Callithrix jacchus: one gene and its partners. The main gene of each other region encodes a partner of the protein of the gene in region 5 in a complex. Links are inferred from orthologs where the notes say so. Each region holds a gene or a part of one and is shown on either strand. Other genes may lie near its edges. The genes, in order: MAGOH, SARNP, THOC1, CHTOP and ALYREF.

What was found.
Region 1: ALYREF (region 5) and MAGOH share a complex: the UniProt entries of both Homo sapiens proteins name them as parts of the ALYREF/THOC4-EJC-RNA complex. The link is inferred for Callithrix jacchus from reciprocal best matches to the Homo sapiens genes ALYREF and MAGOH.
Region 2: ALYREF (region 5) and SARNP share a complex: the UniProt entries of both Homo sapiens proteins name them as parts of the transcription/export (TREX) complex. The link is inferred for Callithrix jacchus from reciprocal best matches to the Homo sapiens genes ALYREF and SARNP.
Region 3: ALYREF (region 5) and THOC1 share a complex: the UniProt entries of both Homo sapiens proteins name them as parts of the transcription/export (TREX) complex. The link is inferred for Callithrix jacchus from reciprocal best matches to the Homo sapiens genes ALYREF and THOC1.
Region 4: ALYREF (region 5) and CHTOP share a complex: the UniProt entries of both Homo sapiens proteins name them as parts of the transcription/export (TREX) complex. The link is inferred for Callithrix jacchus from reciprocal best matches to the Homo sapiens genes ALYREF and CHTOP.

Annotation. Positions count from the first base shown.
Region 1 is NC_133508.1:90,378,534-90,382,787, reverse strand, and holds the start of MAGOH (protein mago nashi homolog), read left to right. Parts: upstream 1-1,453; 5' UTR 1,454-1,523; coding exon 1,524-1,611; intron 1,612-4,099; coding exon 4,100-4,158; intron 4,159-4,254. UniProt on the Homo sapiens protein: Required for pre-mRNA splicing as component of the spliceosome. Plays a redundant role with MAGOHB as core component of the exon junction complex (EJC) and in the nonsense-mediated decay (NMD) pathway.
Region 2 is NC_133510.1:63,852,593-63,856,104, forward strand, and holds part of SARNP (SAP domain-containing ribonucleoprotein), read left to right. Parts: intron 1-165; coding exon 166-212; intron 213-441; coding exon 442-509; intron 510-3,512. UniProt on the Homo sapiens protein: Binds both single-stranded and double-stranded DNA with higher affinity for the single-stranded form. Specifically binds to scaffold/matrix attachment region DNA. Also binds single-stranded RNA. Enhances RNA unwinding activity of DDX39A.
Region 3 is NC_133514.1:63,805,709-63,809,220, forward strand, and holds part of THOC1 (THO complex subunit 1), read left to right. Parts: intron 1-793; coding exon 794-860; intron 861-1,057; coding exon 1,058-1,108; intron 1,109-1,198; coding exon 1,199-1,269; intron 1,270-1,977; coding exon 1,978-2,094; intron 2,095-2,570; coding exon 2,571-2,636; intron 2,637-3,512. UniProt on the Homo sapiens protein: Component of the THO subcomplex of the TREX complex which is thought to couple mRNA transcription, processing and nuclear export, and which specifically associates with spliced mRNA and not with unspliced pre-mRNA.
Region 4 is NC_133519.1:14,052,244-14,056,379, forward strand, and holds the start of CHTOP (chromatin target of PRMT1 protein), read left to right. Parts: upstream 1-1,326; 5' UTR 1,327-1,590; intron 1,591-4,136. UniProt on the Homo sapiens protein: Plays an important role in the ligand-dependent activation of estrogen receptor target genes. May play a role in the silencing of fetal globin genes.
Region 5 is NC_133506.1:137,488,181-137,492,253, forward strand, and holds the start of ALYREF (THO complex subunit 4), read right to left. Parts: upstream 2,805-4,073; 5' UTR 2,799-2,804; coding exon 2,541-2,798; intron 2,055-2,540; coding exon 1,923-2,054; intron 551-1,922; coding exon 403-550; intron 1-402. Other genes in the region: anaphase-promoting complex subunit 11, read left to right, coding at 4,028-4,073. UniProt on the Homo sapiens protein: Functions as an mRNA export adapter; component of the transcription/export (TREX) complex which is thought to couple mRNA transcription, processing and nuclear export, and specifically associates with spliced mRNA and not with unspliced pre-mRNA.

The DNA of each region.
Region 1 (4,254 bases), on a different chromosome or scaffold from region 5:
TAGTCCCCTTCTCTTTTATACAATTCCCTTGTTACTACCCATATCCAGTGTTTTGTAATAAAAATGCCTTATGGTTTTATAGCAATTTTGAAATTGTTTCTTATAACAGTTCTGCTAGGTGTACATTATTACGCTCATTTAAAGAGAAGGAAACTGAAGTCTAAAAAGTTGAGTCAGTTCACCTATAGTTACAATGAGTCACTGTTACACAAGCGATTATTTTAACCCATCTCCAGTGATTTTCCCCCACCACACCTACTCTACACTCTGCTTCTAATGCTTTTTCAGGGAGAAAAGGACTCAATGTTAAGACTGGGGACAGGAATCAAGACTGCGGTCCTGTCTGATTCCTGTCCCCAGTTCTAGTTGCCAGGTCCCAAGAATGATGTCATCTAGGCACTGTCTCTAGAACCATTCGTTCTAAGCTGGAACTTAGATGAATGAAAGTAGGCTCCTATTATAAAATTATGATCTTGATTGCCCTGGGCCTACTCAACTGTACATTTTTTCAGAGCCAGAAAGGCTTCATAGAGGACAATCACTTTACCCTGAAAAGAGCGAGCCCCTTTGGTCAGTGGTCCTCAACTCTGACTCACCTGGGAGCTTTATAAAAAGTACCAATTCCCAGGCCCAGCGGTGGAGATTTTAATTGGCTTGGGGCCCTGGCATCAGTATTTTTAGAGGCTCCCAGGTGATTGCAATGCGCAGCCAGGCTGAGAATCACTGCTGAGTAAATGGGATGAGTAATGGGAGATCAAATACTCACTTTAACTTCTCAAGCACCTATTCTGGAGACCAGTGGGGTAGAAAGATAGAAATAAAAGGTAGAAAGGGATGCAATGGATAAGTGTGAGTGAATTAGTTCCAGGGAAATGGCAATCTCCACTGTGGATTCAGGGAGAGCGTCACTGAGGACGACTTTCTTTTTTTTTTTTTGAGACAGAGAGGACGGCTTTCTTAACATTCAGGTCAGTGGAAGCCAACTTGAGGCACATATCGTGCGCGGCGTCCTCCGAGGAGCTCGGGTCATTTTACCCCACTTTACTGCCGAGATGACCTAGGTGCAGAGACGGTAAAGAGCGGTGTACGATTCACACAAGTCGGAAGTCCTGTGAACTGAGGTTGAGCCTGGCGGGTGCAAGGCTCGGGGTGTTCGGCCCGAGGTCTTTAAGTGAGGTCTCTGAACTCCTCGTTCAAAGCCCAGAGGTTGGTGAGCGGTAGGCTCTCGGCCTCAGGCCTGGAGAAAACCCAGGGGGTTGAGGGGTCAAATCTCAACCTCGCTCCCGCGTCCAGCTGGAGGGACCGAGCTGCTCGGCCCAGCCTCCGGACTAAACAAAGTTCGTTACCCGTGTAGCAGTCTTTTGCCGCTTCCGGGCGAAGAGGTTAGCAAGAGTGAAACCCTCCACTACGCGACGTCGTGGTAACGTCACTTCCGCGCGCCGCCCCAAACGTCAGTGTCGGGCGCAGACCGCGGCGGTGCGGCTTTCTCTTCGAGGTTCCGTCTCGGTTGTCTTTTGCGAGCCATGGAGAGTGACTTTTATCTACGTTACTACGTGGGGCACAAGGGCAAGTTCGGCCACGAGTTCCTGGAGTTTGAGTTCCGACCAGACGGTAAAAGCAGCCTGTAGCCTGCCGGGAGCGGGGACCAGGGATAAGGGCGGGCTACAGGCTGCCCGGAGTCGGGAGGCGGAGGGTCGGAAATCAGTGTGGAAAGACAGGAGGAAGGGACTGAGACCTGTGCAGCGAGAATCTGAAAGGAACGCCCCTGTGTCTGCTCCAGGGTTTTTTTGTTTTTGTTTTTTTTTAATCCATTTAACCAGTGTTGACCTTACGCTCACTGTGTGCCAGGCTCTGTTCCACTCTTTGGGGAAACGGCAGCGAAGGTAGACAAACTTCCCCTCTCATGGAATTTGTGTTTTAGTGCCGGGAGAGAGATCATAAACAAAAAGATGATTCCAGATAGTAGTGAGTGATTAAAAAAAAAAAGGTAGAATAATTGCTGGATGGGCTGCTTTTAGATAGGTTGACCATTAGAGCTCTCTGTAAAGGGTATATTGCAGCCGATCCCTACTTAACAACAAGGACCCAGCCTTGTGAAGCTCAGGAGGAAGACCATTCCACCCAAAGGGATTGGCAAATGTCAAGGCTGCAGGGCGGGAATGAGCTAGGCATGCCTCTCAAGTGGTCAGTGTGGTTAAAGAGTGATAAGGTGAGAGATAGCAGGAGATGACGTCAAATAGGTAGGTAGGAGCCACACCTTGTAAGTCTTTAAAGACCATGGTAAAAGCTTTGGACTTGAAAGGTTTGTTGTTGTTTGGACTTGGAAGGGTTGTTGTTTGTTGTTGTTTTGAGATGGAGTTTCGCTCTTTTTGCCCAGTCTGGAGTGCAGTGGCACTATCTTGGCTCACTGCAACCTCCGTCTCCCGGGTTCAAGAGATTCTAAGCCTCCGCCTCCCGAGTAGCTGGAATTACAGGCACCCACCACCACACCCGGCTAATTTTGTATTTTTGGTAGAGATGGGGTTTCACCATGTTGGCCAGGCTGGTCTCGGACTCCTGACCTCAGATGATCCGCCCACCTTGGCCTCCCAAAGTGCTGGGATTGCAGGCGTGAGCCACTGCTCCCAGCCGGACTTGGAAGGTTTTAAACAGAGAAGAAATGGGATCTGTTCTTGAAAAAGCATTCTGGTTATTGGGTGCACAAGGGCAAGAGTGGAAACAGGGCTATTGATTAGGAGGAGACTGTTGCAGTTGTCAAGACAAGAAAGTTATTGGTTGGGACTACGGCAACAGTAGAAATGGAGAGGATGGTTTAGGAAACTGTTGGAGGCAGAAACAGTTGGACTTTGCTGATTGATAGGATCTTGTTGAGGGGGCACTGTGGTGAAGGAAAGAGGAATCAAAGATAACAGAAAACATCCACTAAGTGGGGCACAAAGATGAAACTGACAGGCCTCGACTGTGAGGGAGATAGATTTATAAGCAAACAGTGATGAAACAGTGTATTGGGTGTTGTGGTAAAAAGAAACAGAGGAGGCTCGCAGCAGAGAAGAGGCACCTAACCAAGCCAGAGGGTCAGAGAAGGCTTCCTACATAAAATGATGTGGGAGAAAGGGATGTGAGGAATTGGTTAGGAGACCAAGAGTCAAGAAGGCATTTTAGACAACATGCAAAGAGGCTGAAAACCAAAAAGTGCTTGGGATGTTTCAGACAGAATACCAAATAGTTTGACTCCAGCCATGTGAGAGAAGAATATTGCAGGAGTGAGGCTAGAAAAGCAGGCAGGGGCCAGCTTAGCTGTATGCCATGTTGAGGAGTTTGGATTTTACCAGGAAGGCAGTGGAAAGCCATTAACTGTATTAAAATATTAGAGTAACCCAATCTGATAGGTCTGTTACCACATCACCGCGTCCACCGTATGGACAGTGAACTGAATGTGAAGAAACTTGAGGCAGAGACACAACACAGAGGCTGTTGGATAAATTCATTTGGCTCATCTCACATGTATGTCTTCTAGTCTACGGCAGGAGAAGTCATGTCTTCTATTTACTTTTATCTTCCCCTCATCCCCACCATATACTCACATTAACCTATTACATGCACCCATGGACAAAGGGTCTGGTGTACCAAATATGCTCAGTGATAAAAGCAACAGCTTTTCCATCACAGAAATAGAGGGTGGCACAGTCACATGATAATATATGTAAACAGCATCCTACAGTTTTCAAAATGTTTTCACAACTCATTTGAGCCTCAGGAGGTCCTATGTACGGGTAAGTTATCAATTACTATGCCTGTTTTCAGGATATTAACCTGCAAAAATGTGATTTGACAATGTCAGAAAAGAGCCTGCTTGTGTTTATATCTCACCTGAGCTGCGTTTTGCAGTAGAGTGTCAGCTGTATATTTGGCTGTTTAAGCCTGAAGTGAACTGAAAAAGACTAGTATTGTTGATATACCATAAGAGTAAATAATAAATCTATTAGACACTTTGAGCAAGTTAGATACATTTTAGGGAACTGCTGATAGTCTTGGTATGTATTGATGCTTTTATTCATATGTTTTTATTATACATGGAATTTGTTTTTTGCCCCCACAGGGAAATTAAGATACGCCAACAACAGCAATTACAAGAATGATGTCATGATCAGAAAAGAGGTATGAGTCTTCTGCCTTCTGAGAGTCCTTCATTTGCTACATTTCAGCTTTTTGTCTTGCATTTTTTTGTTCTTTCTGGTAGTACTGAAAGGTAGA
Region 2 (3,512 bases), on a different chromosome or scaffold from region 5:
ATCTGGTTTTATCTTCTCCAGATGTAGCAGATTTTATGTGCATCAGTTTCTGCCTTCATTATTGGATTTTTTGGGGGAAAACAAAGTGATTATAATTTTAACCTTGGTAAGTGATCAAGATGGTTTTGTAGCAGGGCTTGACCTGAATATTTTAATATTCTTTAGCTGAAGAGGAGGCAAATGAAGAAGATGTACTGGGAGATGAAACAGAGGTGAGTTGGATAGAGTAAGGTTAGTCTCTGGTCTGGTAATGCGCAACTGCCTTGGCCACATTGCTTTAACATCAGTTACTGGAGAACTTCGATGTAAATTTATTAAGGGAGCATAAAATGGGTATGAAGGTTCTGAGAGACTGGTTTATTTTAAAGTTCTGGTGTTCTTCTGTTGATAGATATTTATTCTTTAGATTTATGTTAACCACCTTGTTTCATTTGGTTTTAGGAAGAAGAAACAAAGCCTATAGAGCTCCCTGTCAAAGAGGAAGAACCCCCTGAAAAAACTGTTGATGTGTAATTATCCCTTTTTTATAATCTGAGTACAGAGCAGGCAGCTCTTTTTTTAAATTGTGTTTAATGTTTAACTCTGTTTACCTCTTAGATGTTCCCATTGGCCTTTTCATTTCTGGTTAGATCTTTTTGGTTTTTTTTTTTCAAGAAGGGGCTACTTCAAAGTACTTGGTCCCAGTGAAGCAAAGCAAATTTTCTCCGAGTTATATAATAGGTAATTAGGACCAAGCGACTTCAAAACCAGACATAGTTTAATTCTCCTAGCCTTTGTTTTTCTTTTGTAGGGTCACCATAATAGATTATTTTGTTACTCTATAGAGAATCTGCACAGTTCTCTATACAGTGTAAAACTGTAAACTCTGTTAACTCTTTTTTTTTTCTTTTTTTTTGAGACAGGGTCTTACTGTGTCTCCCAGACTGGAGTGCAGTGGCGTAGTCTCGGCTCACTGCAACCTCTGCTTCCCAGGCTCAAACAATTATCCTGCCTCAGCCTCCCAAATAGCTGGGATTACAGGCATGCGCCACTACTGCCCTTCTAATTTTTGTAGTTTTCTTTCTTTTTCTTATCCTTCCAGGACAAGTGGCACTCTGCACCGGACCCTGGTCCCAGCAATTTTTGTATTTTTAGTAGAGATGGGGTTTCACCACATTGGCCAGGCTAGTCTTGAACTCCTGACTTCCAATGATCCACCTGCCTTGGCCTACCAAAGTGCTGGGATTATAGGCATGAGCCACCGTGCCTGGCCCATTCTGTTAACTCTTAAGAGTTTTGCAGTTTTCTGTAAAACTATAAAACTGAGGCCAGGCACAGTGGCTCATGCCTGTAATCCCAGCATTTTGGGAGGCCGAGGCGAATGGATCATGAGGTCAGGAGTTCAAGATTAGCCTGGCCAAGACGATGAAACCCCATCTTTACTAAAAATACAAAAATCAGCTGGGCATGGTGGTGGCAACCTGTAACACCAGCTACTCTGGAGTCTGAAGCAGTAGAATTGCTTGAACCTGGAGCTGTCGGTTGCAATGAGCTGAGATTATGCCAGTACACTCCAACCTGGGCGACAGAGCAAGATTCTGTCTGAAAAAAAAAAAAAAGTAGAACTGTATATAAGGAGTTTTGTAAGGGAGGAGGGTGTTGGATAGAGGTTACGTTTCTCAAGTAACACTCTGTTCTGTCTTGCTTTCTGATTTATAGTGGAGGAGGGGAAGACAAAGTACTAGAGTGGAAAGTAGATCTTGATTTGTTTAAATTATCCCACAAAGGTGATCCTAAACATCTTTAATTTGGGGCTTTTTCCACAACTCTCTGGCCATTTTGTACTATAGCACATTAACAACAGTTGAGTCCCTTTTAGCATTTTTGTTCTTCATAGCTGTGTTAATGCATTTAATTATAAAAGGCTACACACACACACACATAATTTTACTTTTTGAGAAGGAGTCTCGCTCTGTCGCCAGGCTGGAGTATAATGGCATGATCTCAGCTCACTGCAACCTCCGCCTCCTGGGTTCAAGTGATTCTCCTGTGTCAGCCTCCCGAGTAGCTGGGACTACAGGTGCTCATCACCACGCCCAGCTAATTTTTATATTTTTTAGTAGAGACAGTGTTTCACCATGTTGACCAGGATGGTCTCAATCTCTTGACCTTGTGATCGCCCACCTTGGCCTCCCAGAGTGCTGTGATTATAGGCATGAGCCACCATGCCCAGCCAAAAGGCAATATGTTTACAAGCAAAAAATCAGTACCGGGCCGGGCGTGGTGGCTCATGCCTGTAATCCCAGCACTTTGGGAGGCCAAGGTGAGTGGATCATGAGGTCAAGAGATTGACACCATCCTGGTCAACATGGTGAAACCCCGTCTCTACTAAAAATACAAAAAATTAGCTGGGCATGGTGGTGCGTGCCTGTAATCCCAGTGACTCAGGAGCCTGAGGCAGAATTGCCTGAACCCAGGAGGCGGAGGTTGCGATGAGCCGAGATCGCGCCATTGCGCTCCAGCCTGGGTAAAAAGAGCGAAACTGCGTCTCAAAAAAAAAAAAAAATCAGTACCTAGAGGAGTATATCAATTGAAAATTAAGTACTCTTTGTATTCATTCTCATTTGACTTTACTGAGGTTTTTAGAACAGTACATTCTTTTTGAAATATTTTATACATGTATACACACACTATGCACACTGTTCCTTGATTTTTTTTTTCATGTCTGGAAATTTTTTATATCATAATTTTCTTATTTAAGTGTTATATGCTAGGCATCGTTCTGAATGTAAATAGTTTCTTTTAATCCTCGGTAGACCCTATGAAGTCAGGATAATTATCCTAGGAAGTGGTCTCTTTTGTTTAGCTTGTTATTATGGGAAATTACAAGTATATACAAAAGTTATGAGACTAGTATAATAGACTCTCATCTACCAATAACCCAGATTTACTAGCTATCAACTTAGAACCTTGTTGTTTCTAGCATTTAATAGTATTCCATTCTGTGGGTAAACAGTAATTTATTTCACCAGTCTCCTGTTGATGGACATTTAGGGTATTCATAAAAGCCAAAAAAAAAAAAAATGTAGTTCTGCATGTCTTTTTATAATTATTTATACACACAAGTATAACCATAGGGTAAATTCCTAGCAGTGGATTTGCTGCATCACAGAGGATGTAACATTTAACATTTTGATATCTTTTTGTCAAATATTCCTTTATTTATTTTTTGAGACAGGGTCTCACTCTCTTGCCCAGGCTAGAGTATGGTGGCACAATCTTGGCTAACTGCAGTCTCCATTTCCTGGCTCAAGTAGTTCTCCAGCCTCAGTCTTCCAAGTAGCTGGGACTATAGGCACAAGCCACCACACCTGGCTCTTTTGTAATTTTTGTAGAGATGGGGTTTCACCATGTTTCCCAGGCTGGTCTTGAACTCCTGAGCTCAAATCGATCCACCTGCCTTGGCTTCCCAAAGTGCTGGGATTACAGGTGTGAGCTGCCATGCCCAGCCTGTCAAATACTTCTTTCTAAAG
Region 3 (3,512 bases), on a different chromosome or scaffold from region 5:
CATCCTAGGCTTATCATTTGCTGGCTGTAGTACAGCTCTTTCACACTTGTAATTTTAAGGTACTAGCACATGGTAAACACTCAAAAAATGTTATTTCTTATCCTATCTATTTTGGATGTTTGGTGTGGCATAGTAGAAAGATCAAGGACTTTGGAGTCAGACCTAGGTTTGAATTAAAGCTTTATGGCCTTGAGCAAATCATTGAGCCACCATAGTCTGTTTAATACGTACTTGTATTTGTTCTGAGAATTCAGTGAATAATGCATGTAAAGTGTTCAGATCCCAGCTATCAATATTTATAGGATGGCTTTAAATCACTAGTGCATAATGAGTTCTCAATTAATGGCAGCTGGTAACAATATGGGTTTGCCTGTTACCTTTCCTAGGGTTTGGGTGTTTTTATTTGTTGTATTTTGAATGTATCTTAAAGGAATGTAGCATGCCAGACTGAATGTGCATTATGTATACAAATATCTTAATATCAAATCAGAGGTTTTCATTTCACATTCAGCTTATTTTAGGAAACATTTATTGCTCTGTTCATAGCTAATCTGATGGATTAATTGAATGTTTTATTCTCCTGCACATGCTTTTATGTTTTCAGTACCAACTTCTTGAGGAATAAATGCAAGAATTTTCTCTTATAATCCTCTCATTTGTGACTATGTTTATCTTGGTAATGTTTGACACTATCCACAGCATATTACATGTTACATGCCTTCTGTTTTTTAAACCTTAAAATTGAATATGCATTGCTCTAACTCAAGCATGCTTTCATTGCTTTGTTCCCTAGTTCAAACTATGTTTTAACTGATGAACAATCACTTTGGATTGAAGATACTACAAAATCAGTTTATCAAGTAAGTTCAACACGCAACAAACCCATGATTGAAAAAATGGAAATTTAGAATTTTCTTTGTTTCAGCCCCAAATAGGAAAATAAGGATAAAGTTAAGCTCAGGTACAAGACCACAAACACTCCTTGGTTCTCTGCCTACAAACCACTCCTATGATGCAGAAAGTTGTTGAAAGCTTAGTATATTCTTTCTAATCACAGCTACTATCTGAAAACCCCCCCGATGGAGAAAGATTTTCAAAGATGGTAGAGGTATGTGATTTTTATGTTTACATCCTCTTTTTAGCACGAAAGAGAATTTCAGAGGATTCCATTAACCAAAATAGAATTTGTTTTTCCCAGCATATATTAAACACTGAAGAAAACTGGAACTCATGGAAAAATGAAGGTTGCCCAAGTTTTGTGAAAGAAAGGTAAATACATACTCATCACAAGAACTATATATAAGAAAGGCTTTTCAAAGTATGCTTTGATATGATTATAGCATGTAAAGATATGTATATATATTTCATATAAAAAATGTAAGTTGAACTCTGTAAGAGTACAATCACTTTGATGTACCTCTGTTTGTATTTTTTTTAACCTCAAAAACTTCTTGTCATTAAGTTCCTAGAGCAAACATCTATATAAATTATTGAGAAGACTGTATATATATTCTGTGTAATTTGCCCTATAATGTGGCATTTTTGTCTTATTTCTGATAATTGTTCTATCAGAAACATGAAGTTTTCATCTTTTGTTTTGAGATGGGAATCTCGCTCTGTCACCCAGGCTGGAGTGCAGTGGTGCGATCTTGGCTCACTGTAACCTCCACTTCCCAGGTTCAAGCAATTCTCATGCCTCAGCCTCATGAGTAGCTGGGATTGCAGGCATGCACCACCATGGCTAGCTGATTTTTGTATTTTTAGTAGAGACAGGGTTTTACATGTTGTCTAGGCTGGTCTTGAACTCCTGAACTCAGGTGATCCACCCACCTCAGCCTTCCAAAGTGCTGGGATTATAGGTGTAAGCCACTGTGCCCAGCCAGTTTTCATCTTTTTTAGGAGGAAAACAATAACTAAATTTTCTTTTACATTAAACATTCTTCTATTTCTGCTATCCATTTGTAATTCAAAAAATAGTGTATGTTTTGTTCACCACAGAACATCAGATACCAAACCTACGAGAATAATTCGGAAGAGAACAGCACCCGAGGATTTCCTAGGGAAAGGACCCAGCAAAAAAATTCTGATGGGAAAGTAGGTGAACTTGCCTTTATGTGGGATGTTCTTATTTTTGTATTTTAAAGATGTTACTGTAAGAATTCTCCATCTCTTAACATCAAATGGCTATGCCACTTTTTTCCATTTCACAGACAGTAGAATTGTTTAGACTGATGCAGCTCACTTCTAGTTGCTGCAAGATATCATAATCCTTGAGTTCTCTTACCTTCCAGTTAAAATTCAAATTCATTGCTTTATATTATGCTTGAATATTTTTAGGAAACAACCTAAAGATTATATCATTATTAGTCAGAATTATAATAGATAATAATATGCTTATATAGAGAATAATTTTAGGTATTGTAAATACCAGAAATCATTGAGAAAAGTAAAACTCATACTATCAACATCCCAAATCTGTTGTTTGCATTGTATTGTTTTTCTATTCAGTTTCAAGGCACATGAGGATGGTGTCCATAAAAAATGTATTTATTTGTGTATCTGTTTTGTAGTGAGGAGTTAACAAGGCTTTGGAATCTTTGTCCTGATAATATGGAAGCCTGCAAATCAGAAACAAGGCAAGTTGAACATTTTTCACATGAAGTGTTGCTTTTGTCAAGTGCTGAGTAGAATGGAACCTTTTCTCAGCTATGAAAAGAGCTCAAACAAAATTTAAGTTTTTTGTGGTTGACTTTGGCACAGTAGAATATAGCTTCCCACCATAAAACACCTAGAAGTTCTGATAAAATAATTTTAGAAATACAAAAAAATAAAGATTCACAAAAGGAATCAAAACAAATAGAAGAGTAAGCCTATGAACTGATACGGTTCTGTGGGAGCAACACTAATGATTCCAAGCTTTGAGAACCAGGGAACTTGGGTTTTAATAATCACAGAAAGGACAGAAAGGCCTTAGGCCTGCACAAATTTGTGAGCAAGTTTTCCCCTGAACAAAGCTGAAATTTTTGAAGCACTACACATCTGTAAAAGAAGGGCAGGGTGGGGGCACGCTCACTGGCACAGGAAACAAGGAAGCTTATCTGCCTTTACCAAGGTGTAGGTGACAGGGAAAGTATTCCCTGAGAAATTGTAACCATAAGTCTGCTCTCAGGCAGTGTTAACAGTTTAAATTTTTCCTACCAGCAGTAGGAAAAATCCTACCTCAAGCTAAGATAGTGAGCTAGAAAGTCCCATGCTGGCAATAAAAATCTTTCTGAAGGTCCAATCTTCAACCCAAACTAAACAAGATTCCCACAGATAAATATCTAAAGTTATATTCACAAGGTTATTAAAAAAAATAAAACCCAAAGATAAATTCACCATCCAAACTTTAAAAACTCTCAGGGAAACAGTCCACCATGAGCAAGAATTGGCAGACAGAACAAGCAACAGAAGTTGGCCACTTTAGATAATAAAATCATAAGATAAAGGGTGTAAAATAAGTATATTTCAGA
Region 4 (4,136 bases), on a different chromosome or scaffold from region 5:
CAGGAAGGAAAAATGAAAGGGTCTTGACGTGCCTATGGGGCGGGGTTGCATTCTCTCATTAATCAAACGTATGCACACTGTATTGTGTACAAAACCATTAAAAAATCTTTTACTGAGGCCGGGCGCGTTGGCTCATGACTGTAATCCCAGCACTTTAGGTAACAGAGGAGGGCAGATCATTTGAGGTCAGGAGAATTGCTTGAACTCAGGAGGCAGAGGTTGCAGTAAGCCGAGATTGCACCATTGCACTCCGGTCTGGGTGACGGAGACTCCATCTGCAAAAAGAAAAAGAAAGAAAGAAAGAAAAATTCCTTATTGAGCAGGGCACATAGCTCACGCCTATAATCCCAGAACTCGGGAGGCTGAAGTGGGAGGATCATCTGAGCCCAGGAGATCAAGGCTGCAGTGATCCTTGATTGTGCCACTGACTGCAGCCTGAACAGCCCGTCGCAAAACAACAACAAAAAATCAGAGAGAAAAGATAAATCCCTTTGTAGGTCTGCAACAAAATCAACACGGATGGCAGGTGTGGAGGGAGGACATGGAAGAGAAATCGGAGATGCAAAGGTGCCCTCACAAGAAGGATTAAACAGTATTGTGGGGAGAGGAGGAAGTGAGGAGGAAAACATGGACGGGCGGCCGTGGAGCCGGCGAAGGATCCGCGAGGAGTGTGCTCCCAATACTGGCCTCCTGGGCCTTGGCCGGAGCATTTACGGCACTTCACAACTCTCAGACTGGGCGAGTGGACATGAGGGGAAAACCAGTACAAATTCCCCAGGCCCAGTGGTCCGGTAGAAGATGAGGCAAGTCCATGTAAAGATTTTATTTTATTTTTTTTTTAATAGAGACGGGGTTTCACCATGGCCAGGATGGCCTCGATATCTTGACCTCGTGATCCGCCCGTCTCGGCTTCCCAAAGTGCTGGGATTACAGGCGTGAGCCACCGCGCTCCGCCCGTGTAAAGATTTTTAAACTGTGTACCTTGGCTGGGGAACGGGGGGACGAGGGAACTCGGGACTAAAATCCCCTCTACGAACTACCCCAGGAAGTCGCCGTGCAACCACTACGGTAACGGCCTACGGTAACCCTGCACGACCCCACTACGGGACCACTGGCCACGCCCCTGGGGGGACGGAGCACTGCTTGCAACGCTAAAGTAACGTTTGCTCAAGCCCCGCCTTCGCCATAAGGCTCCGCCTCTGATTTCTGCGCAGGCGTAGCTCAAATCTTTCCCGCCCTCTAGTCGTGCGCAGATCTGACTCCTGACGTAATTGCGTAGACGCCATTTTAGCCGGTCCTACACGCACGGGACGTGGCGGCCATTTTGTTTTGGACACTGAGACGGAGCTGGCGGCCGCTGCAGACGAAAGTCGGGAAAGGGCAGGCCGAGTGAGCAGACGGATTTGCCGACTAGACAGCCAACCAGCAACAACAAACTAAGTTCGCATACTACAGCTTACGCATCTAACCAACCGCCCATCTAGCTAACCCGAGCCCCTCCACCGTCAATTCAGGTTCGGCCGGTCCCCGGCCCGCCTGCCGGAGCCGTGGTGGCAGCCCCGGGAGGAACCCTGGCGTCTGTTTCCTTCGGTGAGTTTCGGTAGTGAGAAGGAGCAGGGAGTCTTGGGGAGTGGAAGGGGCCAGTAGATGCGGAGAGCGGGTGGTGGCACGTGGAAACGGCTCAGGTGGCGGAGCGTGGAGGCCCCGGGGAGGAGGCGGAGCCCCTGCGAGGGGACGGGGGAGGGGCTGAACTGGAACCTGGTGGCGGGATTGAGGGAGGTTGGGTTTGATAGGGATAAAAAGGGAACTTATTTGGCGGGTTGAGCAAAAGTGGGAGTCTTGACAGGGCTTTGAGGATGGTAGGGAGATTAAATGAGAAATGTTGGAAATTAATGGCAGCGTTAGGGTTAAATATTGTGGAGGGCTCTCTGCGAGCTAATTACCAGGTGAATATAGAAAACCTTTCCTAATCACTGCCCCAGATCCTCAGTTCCTTGTTAAAGACCCTACTTAATTCTGGAGTTGAAATCCAATTTTGAAACTAGGCATACCTGTATTTTCACTCTGTAAATCTGTGTTTCTCTACTTTAGCTGCACATTGGAAGCACCCCTAGGTAGCTTTCCCCCACCCCACAATTATTCATTTCCAAACCTCACTACCAGAGATTCTGGTTTAATCTAGGCCCAGATATTCGTATTTTTTTAATTTATGTTTTAATAGAAACAAGGTCTTACCATGTTGCCCAGGCTGGTCTCGAACTGCTGGGCTCAAGCAGTCCTCTCTCCTTGGCCTCCCAAAGTGTTGAGATTACAGGCGTGAGCCACCTTGCCCAGCCCTATTTTTGTTTGTTTTTGATACGGAATTTCACACTTGTTGCCAAGGTTGGAGTACAATGGCATGCTCTCGGCTCACTGCAACCTCTGCCTTTCGGGTTCAAGCGATTCTCCTGCCCCAGCCTCCCAAGTAGCTGGGATTACACAGGCACTGTCGCTAGCCCGGCTAATTTTTTTTTTTGCTTTCTTTTGTTCGTTTAAGACAGTGTTTCGCCATGTTGGTCAGGCTGGTCTTGAACTCCCGACCTCAGGTGATCCACCTGCCTTGGCCTCCAAAGTGCTTGGATTACAGGCATGAGCCACCACGCCCAGCATTTTTGTATTTTTAGTAGAGACGGGTTCACCATGTTGGCCAGACTGGTCTCGAACTCCTGACCTCAGGTGATCCACCCACCTCGGCCTCCCACCAAAGGGCTAGGATTACAGGTGTGAGCCACCGCTCCCGTAGTACCTGGACCTATTTTTTTTTTAAAACCTCTTTGGGTAAGTCATGTAGTCAAGGTTGAAAATGACTGCTCTGGCCGGGCGCAGTGGCTCAAGCCTGTAATCCCAGCACTTTGGGAGGCCGAGGCGGGTGGATCACGAGGTCAAGAGATCCAAGACCATCCTAGTCAACATGGTGAAACCCCATCTCTACTAAAAATACAAGGAATTAGCTGGGCATGGTGGTGTGTGCCTGTAATCCCAGCTACTCGGGAGGCTGAGGCAGGAGAATTGCCTGGACCCAGGAGGCGGAGGTTACGGTGGGCCGAAATAGCGCCATTGCAGTCCAGCCTGGGTAACGGGCGAAACTCCGTCTCAGAAAAAAAAAAAAAAAGAAAGAAAAGAAAATGACTGCTCTAAATTAAAAGCCAAACTCAGCCGGGTGTGGTGGCTCAGGCCAGTAATCCCAGCACTTTGGGAGGCCGAGGCTGGTGGATCAGGCAAGGTCAGGAGTTTGAGACCACCCTGGCCAACCTGGAGAAACCCCATATCTACTAAAAATAAAATTAGCCGGGCATGGTAGCACCTACCTGTAGATCCAGCTATTCAGGAGGTGAGGCAGGAGAATCCCTTGAACCGGGAGGCAGAGGTTGCACTGAACCCAGATCAGGCCACTGCACTCCAGCCTGGGTGACAGAGCAAGACTCTGTCTCAAAAAAAAAAAAAAAAAGCCAAACTCCACATTCTCATTGCTGGATTGGGTTCTGCCATTTTTGAGAATTTCACAGGTATTTTCTGGGCCTTGAAGTTTGTTTTGGGTTTTTTGCTTGTTAGTATGTTTTAAAGAGATGGGTTCTCACCTGGGCCGGAGTGAGAACTGGGTGCAGTGGTGTGATCATGGCTCATTGCAGCCTCCAACTCCTGGCCTCTAGTGATCCTCCCTCAGTAGCTAGGATCACAGGTGCTGGCAACCACGCACCACTATTTATTTATTTATTTATTTTCTTAATAGAGTCTGGGTCTCACTTTGTTACCCAGGCTGAACTCCAACTCCTGGCCTCAAGCCATCCTGTGGCCTTGCCCTCCTAAAGTATTAGGATTACAGATGGTGAACCACCACACCCTGCCACCTTAAAGTTTTAATAATCTGAGGTAATTGTCATAGAAACTTAAGCACTTTTTCTGGGCGCAGCAGCTCATGCCTGTGATCCCGTCATTTTAGGAGGCCAAGGGTGGGAGGATAACTTGAAGCCAGGAGTTTGAGACAAGCCTGGGCGACATAGCAAGACCCCCGTCTCTCCAGAAAATTTTTAAATTAGCCAGAGATGGTGGTGCACATCTGTGGTCCCAGCTACTCAGGAGACTGAGGTGGGAGGATT
Region 5 (4,073 bases):
CCTTCTCAGTCTAGACTAGGTGGGCTGCTTGCTGAGGTGTTGGGGTGCTCGTAGGTGGAGAGGTGTGGGTGACCTGACGAAGAAGAACCGGTACCTTTGTCTTTACGACTACAGCCCCGCACTCAGAGGTGTACTATGGCGGTTCTGAGAAGGCTTCACAGAAGTGAATCTTCCGGAAGGAGCTGAAGGAGGGGAGGGATGTAGCTTGCTGGATGGGGGTTCACAAGAGGTTGGTCCAGATGTGTGGGGCAGCATGAGAGGTGGCAGATGGAAGAGAGAGACAAAGGGGCAAATGCAAAGTGTCCTCAGCCACAGGGGTACCCCATATTCCTACCTGGACAGGTGCCAGCCCCAAACTCCACAAGCCCGACAGTCAGCGTGGGTCCCCCCGCCCACACTCACCATCCAGAGGGACACCGTTATACTGCTTCATGGCTTTCAGGGCGTCTGCCTTCCGCTCAAAGTGTACATCTGCTGTTCCTAAGCTGCGGCCAGAGCGGTCATAGTGCACAGCTGCCTTTTTCAGTGTTCCAAATTCAGCAAAGAGTTCCTGGAGTTGCAAAGAGCAGTTGTCAGAAGAGCAACAAAACTGTGCTCCTTCTGGTGGCCCAGGGACAGGCCCTGGAAGCGTGAGCTGTTTTGGGGGTGGTTCCCTGGGAGGCAGGGCAGTGGTAATGGGAAATGAGGGAAGGGCAGGGCAGGAGGGACAGCAACTTCCAAGAGCGCCTGGGTCTGAGGGCTCCTGCCATTGAGGGGACCTGACAGGTGTACCACGATGCAGGTAGAGGAAGTCGCAAAGCCCACTAGAAAGGGGCACAAAATTAAGCCACTATCCTCTTCAACAAAGGAAAATTTACAACACACCCAAGGGCTGTTCCAAGAAACTGTAAAGGCCAAGATCAAGAGCAAGGGAACTGGTCCGGTATCAGACCAGCTTGAAGGGCCTGTTGACTTGGGAACCCTGACCCCAGCCCCTCCCCCAAAGGCAGATTCTGGCTCACCTTTCCCTCTCCTCCTACTCAAGCCTGCGGCAAAGTCTGAAGTCAAGCGCTGCCATGGAAACTGCCCTGACCTCAGGCAGGCTGGGAGTTGGAGAGGGAACCCAGAGTGTGGGGATACTCCGGCCGCAGGCACACAGCGGGAAGTGGAGTTCACCAAAAGCGGTTTCCAGTGGATGCTAGAAACCACCTTAAAAAAAGTGTTGAGACACTGTGAGTGCTCACTGGCCCTGCTCTGTCCTCCCAAGGCAAATGGCTAGGCTGTGGACAACTGAACCCTGCCCAGCCATCTCCAAAACTGATTCCCAAAAAGCCACTTCTTAACCAGAAAACAACTTTAAATGCCGTTGGGATTCAATTTTTCTTTCTTTCTTTTTTTTTTTTTTTTTTTTAAAAAAAAGCTTTAATGAGTTAGAGAATCAAGTCGCTGACAGGACATGGGGGCGGGGAGTGATAAAACCACAATTTACAAGGTCTTTTTAAGACAATACTCAAGTCAAACAGAGCTAGAAAAACACACAGGCTCCCTCTGCTTTACAAGGTACATAAGGAAGATTCTTTTTGTCACATTAACCCACTAAAACAGGCACTAAATTTAAAGCACAAGTGGGCTGAGTCTAACAGCCAAGAACCACTCACATTTGATCAGTCTTTTTCTCTGTTAGAAACTGGAAGCCCTGGCAGAGGATTTTCACTCACAGAACCCATATTCAGACTAAGAGCAGCAGATCCTCAGGCTAGGCTAGGCTCGCACCTGCCTGCGGACTGACCCTGGCTTTACTGGCGCTAGGTCTGTCCTGCAGCCCTTCAGAGCTGGGAGGGCTCCCTTTGCCAAGGCGGGAAGGGGACTCAGGGCCACATCCCCCAAAATATGATCCGTCCTGTGCAGGGCGAACGGGTCACCGAGAAGCCTTAGTCTCTTACCTGAATATCGGCATCTGACACTCCAAAATCCAGATTGGACACCAGCAGTTTCCCACCCGTCTCCACGCCGGCACCACCCCCGAAGCCACTGTCGAAAAGATCGTGCTGCCACTTGTCAGGAAGCTGTTTTGGCTGAAGGAAAAACCACAACAACAGCAGACCTGTGAGTCTCAGTCCAGGGCTTTCCCAGTCCTCGCGGCGACCCCGGACCCTTCCTCTTCCCGGCCTGAGAGGATCCGGCGGAGATGAGGCCGCCAGCGCTCCCTCCGGCCGCTAAAGCAGCCCCAGGTACGAGGCCGCACGGTCCCACCGCGGCAGCACAACTTCAGTTCCCTTCCACTAACTTCCCGCCGCTGTTGCCGCGCTCAGCTACCCCTCCGCTCACGCCGCCACGAGGTCCCGGCGGCCGGAACAAAGGGTTGAAAAGGGTCTCAGCCTCCGGGCCGGGCCCGGAATGAACGACCTCGCCCCCGCCCACCACCCCCTATGCGCCCTCCCACACGCACCCTCCGGACCTCCGGGCGGCCGCTCCACCAGCCCTATCAGCCAGCCGGGCTCGGCCTTCGCCGCCAGCCTCCCCGGCTTGCCCTCTCCGGTGCGGCCGGCCTCCACACTCACCCTGCTGTAGGGCGCCGGTCGGTTCCTCCCGCCTCCGCCGGCCGCGCCGCGGGCGATGGCCGGCCGGGTCCGGATAGGCCCGCCGCCTCGATTCACTCGCGCGGCGGCCTGCGCCCCGCCGCCGCGGCCGCCTTGGGAGCCGACCCGGCCGCGGCCCCGGCCCCCGCCGCGGCCTCCTCGCTGGCTCCGGTTCAGTTTAATGATGTCGTCCAGAGACATGTCCATTTTGTCGGCCATGGCGGGCGCGGAATCGGGCATCGGCTCGAGCCCGCGCGTCAGCACGCCAGCACGTCACCTCCGGCGCCGCGTGAGGCCTTCCGGTGCTACGGCCTCGGAGCGGCTAGTGATTGGCCGCCTGCGGACCGCAGCGCGCGCGGGACGGGGAGAGACGGGGAAGCGCGTGCGCACTGCCGCGCGGGACTCGGCGGGCGCTGCTGAGGGAGCCGGGCCGTGACTGTGGTCGTTTTTATACCTTCCCGCGCGGACGTCAGCGCTGCCAACGGAAGGGCGGGCAGAGCCGTGCGTGATTAGGTTGGCGAAGGTGCGAGGCCGCAGGGGGTTGGGCGGCGGTCGTTGGGAGTGGGGCATGCGCTCCCCTCCCTCCCCGCCTGCCCCGCCCTTCTGCTAGGGCTGGGGGCGCTGCGGGCGCGGCGGGTGTCCGGGAACCTGCGGGGGTCCTTGTTTCTGCGCCCGCCCGAGGGCTGTGCGCTTGGCTCGGGGCGGGATCCTGCGGGAGTGGCCTCAGCGGGCTGCAGCCGGTGCAGACCTGCTGCGGGTTGCTTTTTGGTTTTTGAGCCGGGGTTTTTGGTCTCCACCTGCAACCTCGAAGTCTCCAATCTCACATTTGCTAGTCATATCCTTTACAAGTTTTGGTACGGGCCCGGCGCGGGGCTCACGCCTGTGCTCCAAACTTTTTGGGAGGCCGAGGCAAGAGGATCGCTTCACCCTAGGAGTTTGAGACCAGCTGGGGCAACGTAGTGAGACCCCCATATCTAAAAAAAAAAAGTCGAAAGTCGGGTGTGCCATTGCACACTTGTAATCCCAGCTGCTTGGGAGGCCGAGGTGGAAGGATTGCTTGAGCTCAGTGAGGCCAGCCGGGCAACATAGTGAGACACTGTCTCTTAAAAAAAAAAAATTAGTCGGGCCGGGCGCGATGACTCATGTCTGTAATCCCAGCACTTTGGGAGGCCGGCTTGAACCCGGGAGGCGGAGATTGCAGTGAGCCAAGAGTGCGCCCTTGTACTCTAGCCTACACGACAGAGCAAGACTCCGTCTCAAAAACAAAAGAAAAGTAAAATAGAAACGGCTTACGATGTTCCTAGGCTGGGTTCGAATTCCTGGGCTGGAGTGATCTCCTGCCTTGGCCCCTTGAGTAGCTGAGACTACACTGTGCCAGGCTTATTCCTATTTTGGTGCCTAAATCTTCTAGTTCTGCAGACTAAATTAAGCCTGTCATCCTCTTCCCTTCGGGTACAGGCTCTGCTGCCATGAAGGTGAAGATTAAGTGCTGGAATGGCGTGGCCACTTGGCTCT